Lepisosteus oculatus: one gene and its partner. The protein of the gene in region 1 purifies or fractionates together with the protein of each later gene. This does not show direct contact. Links are inferred from orthologs where the notes say so. Each region holds a gene or a part of one and is shown in the gene's direction. Other genes may lie near its edges.

What was found.
Region 2: the proteins of ccny (region 1) and cdk14 purify together in Homo sapiens (affinity purification with western blotting; 3 studies listed by BioGRID and IntAct, with this or other methods). This does not show direct contact. The link is inferred for Lepisosteus oculatus from reciprocal best matches to the Homo sapiens genes CCNY and CDK14.

Annotation. Positions count from the first base shown.
Region 1 is NC_090701.1:38,336,596-38,346,024, reverse strand, and holds the start of ccny (cyclin-Y), read left to right. Parts: upstream 1-5,420; 5' UTR 5,421-5,934; coding exon 5,935-6,088; intron 6,089-9,429. UniProt on the Homo sapiens protein: Positive regulatory subunit of the cyclin-dependent kinases CDK14/PFTK1 and CDK16.
Region 2 is NC_090705.1:5,601,500-5,610,756, reverse strand, and holds the start of cdk14 (cyclin-dependent kinase 14), read left to right. Parts: upstream 1-5,119; 5' UTR 5,120-5,543; coding exon 5,544-5,637; intron 5,638-9,257. UniProt on the Homo sapiens protein: Serine/threonine-protein kinase involved in the control of the eukaryotic cell cycle, whose activity is controlled by an associated cyclin.

The DNA of each region.
Region 1 (9,429 bases):
CCTTCACCACACCCCCCGAGGTCACCATCGTCACGCCAACATGTCTGTCAACCCGTATTAATCCTGTTGTACCTTTTCATTAACTTGCCCTTCTCCATTAACTTCCAGATTACACCATCTGCATAGGGTCCTGAACTACGCTTCACTCAGGGCAGTGCATATGGTCGGTGGAGTAGTTGGCACTAATGCCTCTCAGCTTAAGGGTCCTGGGCATAATTCTCATCTGGGGTACCTGTCTGAGTGGAGATTTGAGGAGACAAAACAACAAACACATGTTGAGGTCTTGCTCGGTGTTCAGTCATTGGAGTTTGCACCTTGTCAGTGATGACCTGGCTTGCTCTGCTAGTGATCTGTCTCTCACTTTGTTTGCTCTTTACTTTGCTTACTTTGTACTGACCTTTGCTAGGTTTTCCTGACCATGAATCTGGACTAGCCTGGGGTGTCTCCTCATGTCTTCCTGGCTATGAACCCTTCTAGCTCGATCATGATTTCTGGAACTTCCCTATAGAGCCTGGACTGTGTTTTCTCTGTTCTCATCTTCATTGCTGAGCCCAACACTTGGAATAAGACCAGGTGTCAGGGCATTGTAGCCTTCGGGATATACCACATCATTGCACATGTATGTTAAGTTTCATTGACTATTCTAAGTTCTCCCTTTCTGATTATGGTTCAAGGAGATTTCAGGTGTTCTAGAGGACAGCCACCACAACTAGTATCTTATTCCCGGAATACAGACAATCAAACAAACGCATTAGGCCTAATGACCTCTCTTTGGTGACCTTTCTGATGTACAAAGGTTCATTAGAAAGCTCACCAAAGGTCATTTATCATGATATATTTAAATAGTTCATCTTTTAAATTAGGTTGATACAGTGGCATGGCATTTAGCACTGCTGCTTTATAGCTCTTGAGTCCTGGTTTGATTTTTTTGTGGAGTTTGCATGCTCTCCTTCTCTGGTTTTCTCCCACTATCAAAATACATACTGTTTATGTTAACTGGCATCTTTAAGGAGTCTTCATTATGTCTATGTATCCTGTGCTAGGAGCCCAGTGCCTGCTGAATTAGGCACCAGCTCACTGCCACCCTGTATAGGAAAAAATGCCTTTATTGTTTTGCACCACAGTGTATATATATTTTGACCTGACCAGAGAACAATTCATCAAGTCCATTAGTGACCAACACATAAAACAAGCACTTAAAAAGACTGGAACGGTGACACACTTCAGTAAATACAGAAGGCAGAAGGGGCCTGACTCAACACAGTCCTTAACTGCTGTGGAATGGCATCTAAAGTTACAGGTTAGCTCTAAATCACATTTACTCTCCAGGGCAACCTGTAATCATACAAAGTGGTACCTCAACAACTGAAGGCTCCCAGCTGTGTGACACAAGTTCTAATACTCCTAGATTCTGTCATTCATACACACTGCCCACCTGCAGCACCCACAGCAAGGACAGAAGGAGCTGCAGAGGGTTGTGTTGCTCTTCCCTTGAAGAGGCTACTAGTGAAAAACACTTTGGTTTGTGTTGCCTGATCATTAACATCTTTTAATCAATGTACTGAAAAAGTAAAGGGGCAACCGATGTTTAGATACGTAATAGAAAGTGTGGAGGCATAGTGGCACAGTGGTTAGCACTGTTGCCTCACAGTGTTAGGACCCTGAGGTCAATTTCAGGCCTGGAGTACTATCTGTGTGGAGTTTGTATGTTCTCCCTCTGTTTGTGTGAGTTGAATAATAATAATAATAATAATTAATAATTGCTTACACTTACATAGTGCTTTTCTGGACACTCCACTCAAAGCGCTTTACAGGTAACGGGGACTCCCCTCCACTACCACCAATGTGCAGCATGCACCTGGATGATGCGACAGTCATAGTGCGCCAGTATACTCACCACACATCAGCTATCGTTGGTGAGGAGAGCTGAGTGTTGAAGCCAAATCACAGGTTTAATCATGGCCATGACTGATTAAAAGCCAATGTGAAATTTGGCCCAGATGCCAGGGCTACACCCCTACTCTTCTCGCGAAACATCCTGGGATTTGTAATGACCAAAGAGAGCCAGGACCTCGGTTTTACGTCTCATGCGAAGGATGGCGCCTTTTTAAAGTATAATGTCACTATACTGGGGTGTTAGGACCCACACAGACTGCACGGTGAGCGCCCCCTGCTGGCCCCACTAACACCTCTTCCAGGCAGCAACCTTAGCTTTCCCAGTTGGTCTTCCATCCAGGTACTGACCAGGCTCACACCTGCTTAGTTCAGTGGGTTGCCATCCTGTCCAGGGAATACTCTGCCTTACTTCCATCTCTTGTCAAGATAGCCTCTGGCTCTTTAATGACCCTGAAATGGATGAAACGGGTTAGAAAAGGTCTCAACAGAAAACTAGACAAAAGTGTATTTAGATTTGAGAAAATAAAATATTTCTTTACCCAAAAGGTTATGTAAGTATGGAACCGTCTGCTCAGCCATTTTGTTCAAATGGATACCCTGGCTTGTTTCAAGAATCAGCTGGATACAATCTTTAGATGAATTAGCTACTAAACTCCAAATGGGCTACATGGGCAGAAGGTCCTCCTCTTATTTGCAACCTTTCTTGTGTTATTAGTGCTGAAGAGGTGTATTCAGTTGATGAGGTAGCAGGTTATGGTTGGGTTTCATTCATTTTCAAGGCTGCTCAACATGCCAGTGTAGAGAGCTGTCATTTTCACCTTATGTTTAAATATTTCACTTTGATCAAACAACTACCGAATAGTTCTAGTTTAGGTATATGTAAATAACTGCATTTGTATTTTTAACGTTACCTTTCTCCACTGCACAGCATAATGAAAGAGGAAAAAGGAGACAGAAGGAGGAGTCCCGCAAAGCTAAAGATGACATAACCACAATAGATGTGTGCAACCCAACAGCTTGTGGAAAGACCTTAGAAAATCAAACCTAACAACTAACTTAGATTCCAATCAAGTAAAAAGAGAGCAGCTCAGTACTTTTGTGACCTGTCAAGTCAGTTCTTAATTCACTCTTTACAGTAACTGAAGAGAGACTAATGTGATATTTCGTGGATAGGATATCGAATGAATAACAAGGTGATGTGTAGCTGACTAGATAAAACCCCTATTAATAAATAACCCCCCTTACTGCTAACTACTGACAATGCTGCCGAATCATTTGTAGATTCCTGATCATTATCATCAGCAAGAATTTGAAAATGCGTCTGTAAACACACTATGAAAAAAACATTTCTGAATCAAATTGGATTTACATCCTATTTCATTTTGTAATGCAGACCTGCATACATAATAAACAATGGCTGTGTCATGTCAGGGCAGTTCTGCCATCTTTGCTACAGACCTACATAGGTGACCTTTCATCTCTCAACTAGATAACAAGCCCTTACTAGTAATCGGAGCTCCTCAAGGTGTCACAGTCAGCATGAAGGCACATCAGTCTTTATCTGTTTTAGCAGAGGGCATTGTGTCTGTTATGCTGCCCATGTTAGGAATCCCATAAATACAGAAAAGAACATGACAGTAGCAAGTGAGGCTGAGGATTTCACTGTCTCATTTCTAGAGCTGTCTTCTCTCTGCCATGCAGGACACTGTTGTGAGGCAAATTCCTTCTGTCCATGCGTTTCCTAACCGTTTCATCCAATTTAGGGTCACGGGGGAGCTGGAGCTTATCCTGGCAAGCAATGGGCGCAGGGCAGGGTACACCCTGTATGGGACACCAGTCCATCGTAGGACAGACATATACAAACACACACTCGCACCAGGGCCAACATTCCCAGCAGCAAATAAACTTACCAGTGTGTCTTTGGATTTTGGGAGGGAACTGAAGCATCCGGAGGAAACCCACGCGAACATGTGGAGAATGTACTAACTCCAAACAAATAGCACCCTAGGTTTGGAGTTGAACCCAGGGCCTCAGTGACTTGAGCTAACCTTCACAAATTACAACCCACACAGAGTCATAGCCCTGATTAGGACCCTTATATTCAAAAGATCTTTACTAGCTGAGTACTTTACTGATGTACACTACTGTAGCATGATATGTACAGAAAAATATATGTAATTTTGAAGGCCACATGAATAAAAAATGTTACTTAAAAAGTGAAACACAAATTCGTAGTTTGTGAAATGAGTAAAGTAAGGCTTGTTTGGGTCTCTCTAATTTTAAACAAATCCTCACACAGCTACTTAGAGGAAATGGCCCCCAGTATCCTTCTCTGATTTCCATTGAATCCAAATAGCTTGTTTGTCAACACTTCAGGCTGAATCTACTCTCATATACGTGCATTAAAATAACATCCTCTTGATATTAAAGGTTGTTATTTGAAGGTAGAAAATAAAAATGAACTGCAAAACATTTGAAACAGAAAACACAAATGGACTTGAAACAGACCCTGACATATAAAAAAACATTGCACAACATTACGAAACATAACTGATACTGAGAAACAAAAACTTGCTTCATGTGAAAAGTGTATCTGATATGCAGTTAATGGCTGACATGTTAGTAATAGTAATTGGAACGTAACTACTGCTGAACTTTCCTTAGTAGTTTTTTTATGTGATTCCCAAAACACATTTCTTGCAAGTTCCTTAAACCACTCAAAAACAAAGCAAAGGCAATTCTTAGTTTTTGTGTTATACTGATCTTTATCAAAGTCACACAAATGTGACATTTACCATGTAAACATTATCTGCAGAGAAATCTGAATTTCTCTAAAATGTGTTACAGTAGGAAAAAGAACTATTGTAAGACTGACGATCTCCCAGTCTGTGGGTGAACAAGCACGCAGATAGCAGACGGGTTAAGCTAATATCTATTCAATTATTACAGCTTTCCCACATGTGATAGAAATTAATACTTAACACCAAGTGAAGAGTATGTGATGTCCATAGACATCATTTATATGCTAATAAATAAGGATTTCCTTTCTCTTTTTCTGTCTTTTTATTTATTGGCACAATTTACTTTGATTACTGGAATAATAAAATTACTAATATTTGGGCAGCAGGAAATGGGACCAAACCGTTTTTTTAAATAATCCGAGATATCTTTTTAGAGACCTTTCCAACATTATAATTTCTAGGTTTTAATCATTTTTTATCCTAGCGCCAAACATACTTACAAAAAGCTAAAACAAAAAGAAACATTTGTATTCATATAAAACAGATAACAACACCTTTCTGTGGTGTACAGTAAATTACGTGTAACATACAACCGTTCTTATATTTACTTAATTTACAAAATACGAAATGAGTACAGCTATTTTAATAATAAACGCAGTTACGACAAGAGAAAAACTTCATTTCCAGGAGAAAAACTACATATTACGCTTGAGCCCTCCATTCTTTCCTGTCCAACACATTTTTAGGCTCCCAGCAGCGAATTTTGCAGAAGCGTTACCACCCACTTGAACCGGAACCTTTTCAATCAAACTGCTTCGACTGTGTTGCCTCTGTTTGCTATGTACACTGACAGCAGGAGCCGCGACGCTTGCAATGTTTCGCTAACATCCTCAGTTTACATGCCCCTGTTAATGGGTTTAAAATGACGAGGGGATAACAGCAGACCCCCTTTCGTTTTGTTTATTTAGATCAATCACGACAAGTAAACCAGACTGCTGCGTGGGTTGTGCAGATTTCAGTGCCTGCTTAAAATATCAGGCGGGCAGAAAGAAAAGGGAGAGGGTTTCAAACCTTTCTCCGATTTCTTGCTCTTTTTTCTGTTCGCAAATGGCTTTGCATTATTGCTGCTGCTGCTGCTGCTGCTAGCTAGGACCGGACGAGGGTGTATAACTGATCGGATATTCTGGTGTTGCAGTTCCACCCTCGGCGCCCTAGCCTTCTCTTTCAAGACCAGCTTCGGTCTGTGCTGCCAAGCAAAGCTGAAGAGCACTGAGTATATTAAAAAACAACCCTAAAAATGGGGAACACGACGTCCTGCTGCGTGTCCTCCAGCCCCAAGCTCCGGAGAAACGCTCACTCCAGGCTGGAGTCCTACCGCCCGGAGCCCGAGCTCAGCCGAGAAGACACGGGCTGCAACCTTCAGCACATCAGCGACAGGGAGAATATCGACGGTAAGACGGCAGATAAATCACCATGTCTAACGTGAAGGAAAAAAAAATCCAGGACCGCTAAAACCAACGTCGATTTCGTAAATCCAAAGCCCCTCCTTTTTGTTCGGCATATATTTTGTGAAAAAAAAGAGGACTAGTTACAGTGCTGCGAGGTTCGCAATTGCTGAAGATTCTTGAAATTATTTTTTAATTCTTAAGTTGTAAGAATTGAAACCGTGAAGATGCTCAAAAGCTCGAGAATCGTATGACTATTAATCGGGATCGTGCTTGTTGTCATTTGTATCTGTACAAGCGAGTAGAAATTGTGATTTATTTTTTGGGTGGCCCTTGTGTTTTGCAAACAAGCGACAGGAGCTTTGACACAGACTGACAAGTCGATTAGGTTGGCTCCTCAATGTTGTCATCCCGCTGTGAGCATGAATTTTATTGCATCTTGTTTTTTTAAGGTATCGGCGCTTCTAAATAATAAAGGTTGTTCATTGTTTGATGTACTTAGTTATTTACATAGCGGTGTTTGGGGTTTTATATTGTTATCCATCTACCAAACATACACACTACCTCTCCATATGTTTGTTTCACGTTCATAAATCAGTTATTACATGGTTTTGTCGTGAAATGTTCCCTACCGCGAGTGACTTTACAACGAAGAGCCTTGATCTGTTAAAACTTTTTTTTTCCAATAAGAGGAATCGATAATTTGTTGTTGTGGACCTAGTTCAAACCATGTTTGCGGGCGGGTCCCCGGGTTCTCCTGGGTCTTTTTGGTGAGAGCCCAGCGTCCAGCCGGTTGTACTGTGGGTAGTTTCTGATCTGATTGCATTTAACTTCTTAAGGTGTGTGTAATCTAAACATTATTTACTTCATTCAGATTGGATTGTTTATAAATACGTTATGGCATAAGGCCGTTTATTGTTTTATTCTGTAGCTAAATGTTCCTTGAACAGCCGATACCCTAAAGGTTAATTTAAACTGCGACTTCAGGGCACTCCCATGACTGTACTGCTGTGTGTAATGATTTTAATCTTCATTCAGTCTTGTAAGATCCGTAAAAGAACTACATGTTAATTAAAACACTCTTCTAAATTTGGTTACAAAACCACAGTATTAGTGTTCGTAGCCTATTATGGGCACTGTGCTTAATTGCTTTGTAAAAGTCAGAAGAATGAAATCATTTGTTAAAAGCGATAATAAACCCTGATTACCTCCGGATTTTTAAGTAGCATTTACAGGCTAACGAGGCTATGATAAACTCACTAGTGCAGCAGTGAAAGTTCCTTTATGAAAATACTCTTTAAAATCAGAAGGCACGTCTTTTACAGAGAAATACAGTACTGCAATGAGATATATTAATGTTAAACAGTTTTATAGCTTCAATTGATCTGAAGACTGACAAAAAAACAGCATAATGAATTGCACGAATCACTGTTACTGCACGTATTTTACCATTTTATCATGTAAAAACAACTTTCCAGGTTAATCCCAATTACAGAAGTCGGCAAATATTTTTTTTCCATGAATTTTACTACTCAGTTCTTGTAGAATTTTACTACTTAGTAATACGCCTAAGCAAGCACTAAATATTTCTTGGTGATTCCCAAAACATAGAAAGTTAAAAGGCATATAATTTAAAAGCGGCTATTGTATTGGTGGCTTTCCCATTTTATAAACTAAATAAAATTTTTAATTTCTTTTTTGGAACTTGTCTATAAGCTTGTCCTTTCAGTACTGGTGCCATTCTAGACAAGTAACTGGCCTGTCACACTATCCTTGTTGTATTCTAGGACAGCAGATCCTAGAACAAATCATCACTATTAGACACCTCCCTTATAGCTTCACTAGGAAACCTCTGAGGTACATTTTCTAAACATTGCAAAAAGATGTTTAACATTTAATATAGTTAGAACAGGTAAATCAGAGTGAATTAAGTTATTACCCTTCGTATTACTTTGTGTGCTTTTCATTTTAAACCTTACTAAATAAACATTGAGGTACTGTAATATTAGTTACTTGGGCTTTAAATGGTTTATAAACTGAAAGAAAATTTTGACAATCGCATAGCAATCAATATTTGCAGCATAAAGTTCAAAATTAACTCAGTGAAACATTACTTCCAGTTTGTATTGTATGATTAGCGATGCAAGGGGGAAATATTTTTTTTATTTGAACAATTTTTTTCCTAGTTTTGATTTTCTTTCCACACCCAATTTGCTTTCGCCAAATGTTTCTTTGTCTCGGCTCACAGCAGCGACTCCAGTACTGCTGAAGGAGAGAATGAGGACTGAGGGACAAGCCTCAGTCTGACCTGCCCTCCTATTGAGACGCTGCTCTTTGGTCACTCTGCAGGCTCAGTGGTGCCTGACGGGAGAGTTAGTACTGACTGGATGAGGGGTGGGTTTCTCTCTGACATCACATCCGGGTGCTCAGAAAGCTGGCCTTTGATGGAAAGCTGAGAGAGCCCTTACTGATTGCTGTCTGCCTTGCTCTGGCGATACTTTACTAACTCCAAGCAGCTGCAAGGGGAATCCCAGTCAGTAAGCTGGGGTTTCCTAAGCAGCAGGCTACAGACTCGGGTTCTAGCCTGAGACCTCTGGGTCATAGTGCTCCACCTGCAGCAACCGCCTTTTCATAGTTTGTTGAGTCACTCAACAACCAAGCACATTTGATTTTTTTTCATTTTGATCAATTTAATCATTTCGACTTCTACAGTGAACTGAATCTGGCTCCTTCCCAAAGTTTTTTTTCTGTGTAAATCGAGCTGTGCTTTCCATGCCACCATGTATTCCTTAAGACGTTCTTCCTACTTCTTGTTATATAGCTTTAGCAGTTGCATGAGAAACAAGTGCCACATGACACATACAAAACATTCTTGATGTCATTTCAAACTGAAGCTGCCTTTAGATAAAACCGCTTCGGTACACATAACTTAAAAGGACAGTTTTAGCCCTTTAGCAAAGACCATAAGATTAGATAGCAAGATGCTTATCACCGGAACACTTAACATTTAGCATTTTTTTGAGGAATTGTACTAGCCTGATCTGTGGCTTTCTTGCACAGGGCTGAGCGCAGCTGGATTTTAATGGAATGAAGCAGGGAAGGGATGAATCACAGCATGGAATTAGCACTTGCATTGTCAGTGAGATTGGGGAGCAAGAAGTCCCAGTTCCAATAACAGAATCTTTAATCAGAAAAAAGGCAAGTTTATAAAACCACTGGCCGTGCCAAGAATCTGATAATGTTTGTCTGTGTTTACCATGAAAGCCTTGGTTAAAAGAACACTTTCTTATATATGGGAATCCCAGTCTGAAATACAGCCCTTTTTACTGTTCAGCAGGTAAAACTAT
Region 2 (9,257 bases), on another chromosome or scaffold:
AAAAACAATTTATTTCAATTATGAGCGAAAGTTTTAGAGAGAAGGTGGGGAGTGGGGGATTATTGCATTTCTAGAAAATCGTCTGGAAGATCAAACAAAGTGTTATGTGTAATAATATGGTAATGTTATTTGATTTCTTTTGGTTCTATAGACATATGCCATTTGTTAGCAATGCTTGTATTTTACAGTAGTGGTATACAGGTAATTTGATTAGCTACTGTATACTTACAAAAGGAATAAAAGTTTGTTCAGTGAGGCTGCTGCTAGTTCACTTCACATTGTTCAGGTAACATTCATTCAGCTGACGTTATCTGCAGTTTCACCAAAAGTCTTATTCAAGCTTGAGCTCTTAACGAGCTCGCAGACAATGCATTTCATTGCCGACAACACAAGACAATCGTATTCTGTACTGCTTATGCATTGATAAATAAACCTTGATTGGTTGATTGATTGTGGGAAGAACATCTTTACACAAAGGCTTGTGGGAGTGTGGAACAAGTAACGCAGCCATACTGTATGAGTTGTCAAAGTTGATGCTCTGGCTTCTTTCTCAAAATCGCTGGATGGGATTTTCAGATCAATTACCAGTTAGCAATTAAATGAGCTTGCTGTTCCAATTATGACCCTCATAGCTGTTGTTCCCAGACTCATATAGGATAATAGGTTGCCCTAATATTATTATTATTATTATTATTATTATTATTATTATTATTATTATTATTATTATTATTATTCATAGGTTGCCCTAGTCCTCCTAAGGAGTACAACAGCCCTAAGTGAAGACAATCGTATTGCACCCAACTTGGCAGTAGCTGTTAAGGTCTTAGCTAACCCATTTCTGTTCTATAAACAAGACATCAATGTACAGTGCCTGCGCTGCCCTGCAGCATGCATTTATCCACATAGTTTGGTTAAAAGTTTCAATTTGTGCTCAGTGTCAAAATTGGTGGATGGCAAAAACAGCCCATTGCTTAGTCTTTTAACATACTGTATGCCAAAAAAGTCTTAGAAATTCTCATTGAAATTTGTGAGCCATCTTTGCCCTGGCAATGTAATTCTGTTGAACACATGGTCTGTAATCAGTTTGGTTGTGCTGCATCTGCATGAGGAGGTAGACTTTCAGGCTGGTATTTGTAAACAGCTGGATTACCACTAGCAATGCAGGCAAGCCCCAATATCATTTTAAATACCAAACATAAAGAACCACCTAATCTCTCAAACCCATACATAGTGTCCTCCTGATTTATTCATGTCCACCTATTCATTCAGTGGAATAGGAAGAAAAAATACATCATACGGTGTGTATATATAATGTATCATATAGTAAAGATTTATGGCTAGGATAATGTCTCTTTCTGGAAAAAGTAAAAAAAATTCTTAATGTAGTCTTAATATCATTGTACAGAGCAAAGTCATATTTGTCCTAGATAAATGTCCAGAAAACACAAGGATCATATATATTTTCACCTAAGTATTTTGTAAATCCTCCTCTGGCAGGGATTACACCTCTAGTAGGTGTGTGAGCCTCTGGCATTTCTGACGGGGGATTTTTTACCATTATTTAAGGAAGAATTGCTCTTATTCCTTCAGACACTTTGGCTCCCGTTGCTAAACTGCTTTCTTGAGTTCAGACCATCATGTTCTATTAAATTGATGTGTGAGATTGCAATGGCCAGCTGAGAACATTTATTTTGCATTCAGTTAAAGATTTCTTTGTTGATTTAGATGTATGCCTTGGATCATTGTCATGCTAGAATGCCTATTTGTTGACAGAAGGAAACAGGTGTTATCAAATATCTTGGGACATGTTGGAGTTCATGATTCCAGGGCCTGTAAATACAAAACAATCACAAAACATAACAGACCCCACATTTCACAATGGGCATGGATATTTTCTCAGAATGATCTTAACTTTTTTTCACAATGCTGACAAGCATGTCAAAACATCTGACTTTTCATGATAATCTGTCTATAAGACTTCATAAAATTTCATCTGGGGTATGAATATATCTGGAAGGCATTGTATGTGCCAGTTGAAGTACACTGCTGTTTATCAATTGGTTTTCTTATTTAAAACCACACAGGCTGAACACAGCTATGAAAACAATACTCGGAGACATGCAGTACTACCAAGACATGGAATTACGAGGTAGAGTTTGATTACTGTACAGCACATCTAAAGCTAATACATTATCCAAAATGTGAATATTGTATCCCAAGGCCCCAAAGTTTTATATTGCAAATATGTGGAGATGCTCTGCAGTGTGATGAGAATGTGATGTGAAACTCAGCAGCACAGTGATTTGCACAACCTCCCGTGAGGACTCTATTTAAGGCAGTGAGTGGAATAAATTAAGCCTCCTTTACCAGCAAGGGCTCTCCTATGACTGTGAACTCACCTACAGTCATGACAACAAAAACGTTCTACTGAAAGACTTTTGTTTACATATTATAATGTCAAGCTCCAAACCAAAGATTTATGATGTTGCCATTTCTATATAATACATTAGCAGAAGAATGACAGCAAGTCCAAAAAAAAAAGCAATCACTAGTGAGTCAAGATAGAGGTTAAAAGAGTGATCCATGACATGAAGAAACATGGTGTACATAATACGTGTGACTTTTTGCCAAAACCATTTACTGTGTGGTCTGAGCACTCAGGCACAAGCCCCCTCGAGACCTAAGAACAGAAAAAATTGTCATCAAGGAGAAAGAAGTTGTTAATGCACATTACAAGAAGTGTTTTGAGTGCCTCCTCAGTCAAGACTTTGTCGAGATGAGCCTTAATGCAGGAAGGAAGTTGATTAAGTGGATGAAGAACAAAAAGACTTTTGGAGCTGATGCAGACCTTGCCAAAGCCTTCAAGCAGTGGGAGGTGCTCACAGCAGAGTCCCAAGCCTTTGTGCTGTGGATCGAGGATGATGAGAAAAGCCCCAGTGACCCTGTAGGATGCCTTGATGATGATAGTTTGGAGGACAGGCTACACACCTGACAATGGAAATCAGCTTGCTGTCTCATTGCGAGAACCCTCCAGATTTGTCTCCTTTCGCTTACTGAAGAGCTTCTCCCAGAATCCCATTGTAGGTGCAGTCGACTAAGAGGCACAACTGACATGATCTTCAGTGCTTACATGCTACAGGACAATGTTGAGGACAAAACAAACTCTATTCATGGCATCCTTTGACTCTTTCAACTCAGAAGCACTTTGGAAGATCATATTAAAGAGATTGAAGCCATTAATGCAGAAATTAATCATTGTTCTCCACCTGTTTCAAGATGATAATAGTTTGGAAGATACGGTAGGAGACATGCCTGACAATGATGCATGCCTGAGCATGAGCAATTATTCTGATTTGTGAATTACTGTACAAGCGCCACTGATGTTATGACAGGAGTCAACCCTAACATTTCTTTTAATATTCCTTAATAAAAGTTAAATTACTGTAAGGTAGGGAATTTAACCTCCTGCGACTGTTTCAGAACAGAGAATAAGAAGCCTACAGCCCTGGCAATTTAGATTTGCTAGGAGACTCTGTTGAACACGTAGCATTTCCTGTGACTTGAACTTGGGGAACATCAGACCGGCTGATATCGATTAAGAGGATCAACATCGCCACAAATATGCAAATTCAGCCTTTGGCTGCATGTACACGCAACTGCTCCCAGACTGTGTCCTCAGCTAAACCAAGCTCAACCCCTGCTGTATCAAGCAGTTGTGATTCCCATCTGCCTTAATGAAACTAAGACATGGACAACAGACAGGAGACACCTCAAGGTGCCAGTGTATTACCAGCACTGCTTGTGAAAGACCTTTCATATGTAAAGAGTTGGTACTGTATGTTATCCTTTTTTTACCTCCCTGCTATGGAAAGTTGTACCAAATTTCACTTTGCTCACATATCATCTAGTAAAAGGAAGGTAAAGAAAATGATGAACCGCACATTATGCATCACAGGTTCTGGTGTAATTCAGAATGACAGGCGATTGGAAAGGTGCTCTTCTTTATGAGGGGCTGTGAAGATGACCTTTATTTCATCTCCCGGTTCTTTTTTTCCAGCATGAAGGGCCCTTGTAAAGACTTCAAACAAGGGGAGAGATGTGATTTTTAAATGAAAGTCGTTCTTTGCAAGCAAAGAATGAGGACTCATTAGAGTACAGAGCTACGGTTTTAGCACTATCATCATTTCAGAGCAAATTAAAGAATAAGAAATTACATTTTACAGCCAACCTGTCACCTAAATGTTTAGAATCAATAATAAGCAATGTTAAACGTAATACATTAAGTTTATAATCCATTTTAAAACCACTAACTTTTCAAATCCCAACCCCCATTGTCTAAATTTAAAATATGTCCTTAAAATAAGATCTTGCAAGACATTGTAAAGGGTTAATAATAAAGTGATGTTATCTACTGTATAGGCACACAAGACTTTTAACACGGTTCGTGCAAGACCGTCAGATTAAGATTCATATTTAGTATAAAAGTAAAATTAGACTATGAAACCCTTCATTTCTTCTCGTGTATTTCATATTTAAAGATGCTGCAATTCCATAAATACCGAAACTAAATTTCTGTATTGTCACAATTCCAACTTTAATGATTATTTATACAGACTACAATGCATGAAATAAAATTACTTAATATAAACCCACTTGAAAAGTACCCTGGGCGTGCTGGAATGCGGGATGGAACTAGAGGCTGATAAAAGAGCTGAAACTTTTATTTGCAAATGTACAACTGGCCTTCTTTGATAGAAAACCCGGATTTGTAAGTGACCAAAGCTCGTTCGCTCAACATTAATATACAGCATTACTAATAGTTTTATAAAGATTAAAGCCTTTCACTGTTATTTCAAAGTATAATCAAAACACAAACAAAAAGAGAAACATAAAGAGACGATGCAAAGTGTCCTGCAATTATTATTAAGGGACGCATTTTTTTTCTCGTCTAAAAACCCTGTAAGAAACTTTGTGGGTTTAAAGCACGCAGCTCGAATCGGAGCGATGACTGACCTTACAGTCGTTACTTTCTGATTGAAGGGACCGATAGTGTATCACAACCCAGATTGACTGCAGTTGACCAATCATGGGCTGGCAGAGGTGGGATTTTTCCCCTCTTTTACTCCCCCTCCCGAAAAGAGAATCCCGAAAATGACATCCAGACTGAGAGAAAAACAGTGAAAGCAAAGAGAGTGAGAAATTGACACAGACCTGCGGAAGACGTGTTTTTTTTTTTAAAAAAGCACATCCTTTCTTGGGCACGTTGTAAAGTTTCAGTTCTTTTAAATCGCCAGCAGTGATGCTCTGCCTCAAGAAATGAAGTTCGCAAGTGCAAAAACCTGAAAGAAAAAAAAAAACTAGCGCAAGAAAATGCCTCTTTGAAAACGGGAGCTTCTCGCAGAGCACATTTCCTGGGTTTGACAGCATAGCAAAAGCGGAGACGCCGCTTGCTCGATTCCTCTTTGCCCCCGACGACTTTTCTTCCCAGGATCTCTGGTGTTGGACCTTTTCTTTTACCGACTCCGGTCCAACCGGGAATCGAAATGTGTGACTTCATGCCAGCCTCGCAGCCCGCTGAAAAAATCGGCAAAATGAAAAAGTTACGAAGAACTTTGTCGGAGAGTTTCAACCGAATAAGTAAGTAGAGTCGCCTGCCTGGTTTTTTTTTTGTTCAGCAAAGTATTGTTAGGGTCCTGGCTCGTATCTTTTAGCGATTGTCTTGAGTACAATGAGGGCTCTTTGTAGGACATTCCTTGAATTAAAACTGAGAAAGAGGTTGATAAAACACTTATCATTTGCGTTACTGAAATTCTCCGCACTACCGCACAATGCAGGTCCGATGCAACCGGGTCTGTGGACCGTAAATAGTTTAGATACCTTCATTCCGTAAAGGGGTATCAGTTTGTAGCTGACGTCTGGGCAGATACAGTACCTCTCAGGCTTTTATACACCAGCTTATTTATTTTTTTTTAAATGGGAGACTGTGGATGTCTTCTTTAGGTACTGTGCTTTGTCACCTGTGTGCATTAACGGAATGACCATCATTTGCCCGTGGTAGCGCGCTGAAAAATTGTAAAAGTTTCAAACCGACAACAAAACGCTCAGCTGGGAATCAACAGGACCCCTTTCTCGCTTTTAACAAAAATGTTAAACACCTTTAAGGATCCCAACAAGCGTGAAGAGTAGTTCAGAGATACCTTTGACCAGCTTTTATGCTAGGTACAGCTGCAGAGGACACCGGGCGTCACGATTAGCAAAACCTGGTAACCTGAGCTCATTGATAACGAGGTGGCCATTGGCCGCAGTAGACCTGGCTATGCTCTTAAAGCACCCGAGCTGCAGCTTCTTATCCCAGATAAGATTCCCCAATGAACTATAATTTCACAGACGAACACAGAAGAAATGCTCGAAAGCAGAACCGCGGGGTTTCTAAGGATTAGCAGAATGTTTTTGGGGGGGCGGGAGAAACAAATTCTGTCCTGGGGGAGTACAATACATGAACCTAGCTTGTAAAAGTCCAGTTGAAATCACCATTAGCGGCGCGTTTTGCATGAACACCGGTGTGCGCTTGGTGTCGCAGAAATTTGTTTTTGCACACACGCCGTGGCACGAAGCAATTGGGTTCTTGCAACACTGGGAATTAATGCCTCTGCGCACCGATTTAGTGTCAGTTTCACGTGGAAGATAAAACAAAGAGCATTACGTCATTGTTCTGAAAATCTTAAACCGCACAGTGTTGTTTAATGGGGACGCCTTGTAGGGATACTGTACACGAGTTTGTCCCTAGTGAAGTGAAGTCTAGTTGTTGTCTAATTGCAGTTAACTGTTGTTGGATTTGTACTTGCTGATTGAAGCGCTTAATTTAGAAATTCAAACTCAGTAAACCCCAGTCTTGTTCTCCCGTTGTCTGTAGCCACGAATGGTGCACGAACCTAAAGTCACTCTTTTCTTTCATTATCAGCTGCCGTTTACAGTCGTCATGAGACGACATTCACATCGAGATTTGTGACCGTTTTGAGTTTTGGAAAATCAAAACATGTTACTTTAGCTAGAGAACGACAGGGGACAATATTTGGCACGTTGCTTTTACTCTGCATTTCATGTCCAATGTCTGTGTCATTACGCTTTAATGTACACGTGATATCTCCATCATTAAACATTAAAATAGGCAACAGTTTAATAAAACGTGATTTTTGTATCTTTTTATTGGCACGGAGAGCGCCTAGCAATGATCATTACTGAAAAATACATCGAACTCGGGGAGAAATATGAGGTGTAGCCCTGATACAAGACCTCTAAGAATATTCACTGCAATGCAAATTGAATGTACACTAGACATGGGTCATGCTTACAATTGGTATGAAATATTAAAAGAAATTTCCATTTGCATTGTATTCCCAGGATATGAAGTATGTTGTAGAGAGGTTTACCTAGGTCCAAGGCTGCAGTGAATTATTAATGGCAGAATTAACAATGTGGTAAAACACACAGTAGTAGTATACAGCAATTACAATGCTGCATTTTAAGATCATGGGAAGAACTAAAAACAATAACAGCAAAAATGATCGTCTTTCTGAGTTTTTTAGAAATAGTAATTGTTTTATAAGCCCTGTACACACTGAAACGTTCTTACGATATTGTTTTGAGAGAATGTGAGGCAGTTCTTTCTTCCTGGATTGGTCTGATTGTGCATAAAGTTTTTAAAATAAAAAGGGATGCAAACTCTAGCAGGACTGAAAAGAATGCAAGTATCTTTTTTTTTTTTTACAAAATTACTACCTGTATAATTTATTATGCAACTGTTTAGTTTCCGATGTTTTTATTATGAGTTTTATAACATGATGATCTCTCTCTCTTAGGAACCATCAGCAAAGACAAGACAACAGTATGAATACTGTTTATGGCTCTCGGGGCAGTGTATTTGAACTTTTGCATTCGAAAATAAAAATATGAGAATTCTGGATTTTGTATACAGAATGTAATTCTTTTTCTTGTTCCTCTGATTTATCCTTGTGTTAACAGATCTAACTGGTGACATGTTTTTGGATGTCTTTTGTGGTAGCTCCATCACTTTGGAATGTTGAGGCTGACAGCTTATTCATTATGAAATGTTTTTTTTAATTGATTTTAAGGGAGAGCTGGCATCTGTATGTTTTGGTTGTAAGTCAAGGAGTAAGACTTTGGATGAATAAATATTTTTGCATTTGTTACAATAAGAAGTTTCTCAGAAAATGAACATTGCTAATAAAGAAAACCTAATTTACACTAAATGGAGCATCTCTCTGAGATCTATAAACATGTGGCATTACAACTTTATCATAGAATACGCGCATAAACAAATTAAAAGCCAATAGTATCTCTTTGCACATTATTATACAAAAGATGATTGTTATACCAAAACATTTAACAAAATTGTGGAGGAGACTATATTTCATACTGCACAACAATGCAATGTTTATAGTATTTTGAGTTGGTTTATGAAAACAATGAGCGATGTGGTTAAAACCCCTGTTAATCATTAACAAAATAATTCTTCTTGTTATGCTCTTAGCTTATTTGCCGTGTGTTGGGAAGGTCCTTACTGTAGATTATTTGGCCATTTTGATTTATTTAACATATAAAGATAAAGCAGTCTTCACACTTTTTTGAAACGCTGTTAACAATATTGAAGTTTTTCCAATATCAATGATTCCGGGTGTATTACCTTCATCAAGAGAGCGTTGTCATAATAAATTGTTATTCTTTTGGAGATGAGCAATTAGCTTTTCCTTTAAGCTGAAGGTGTCTGTGATATGCTTTATAAAGAGAGTACAATTTCATGGTTCAGTTAACAGGAGTATTGATTGTCCTGTAGTATAAAATAATGGCAACAAATAAACGCTGGCTTGAATGAAACCCTCACAAACACTAATGGGTTCCTGCACATTATGGACCAGCACCAGTCATATTATTTAAAAAGGCCATTAGAGCTGGCACACTAACACTACTGTGTTTATTTATATGTATATAATTTTGGATTTATTTAAATTTTAGAGTTTTGGACTTGTATAGATTTTAGAGCTTCACAGTAGCCAAAACATATTTCTGTTATTTTTTCCAAGATTTCCTTACATTTTTAATATTCTGTATGGCAGGATGATTGTTTTGTAGTCCATACACCTACTGTATAATGACCGAATACCATAATGAAGACTATCGACACATCTTGACAATGCTTCAAAAAATTCACCCATATATTTTTATAATCCCTTTGTGAC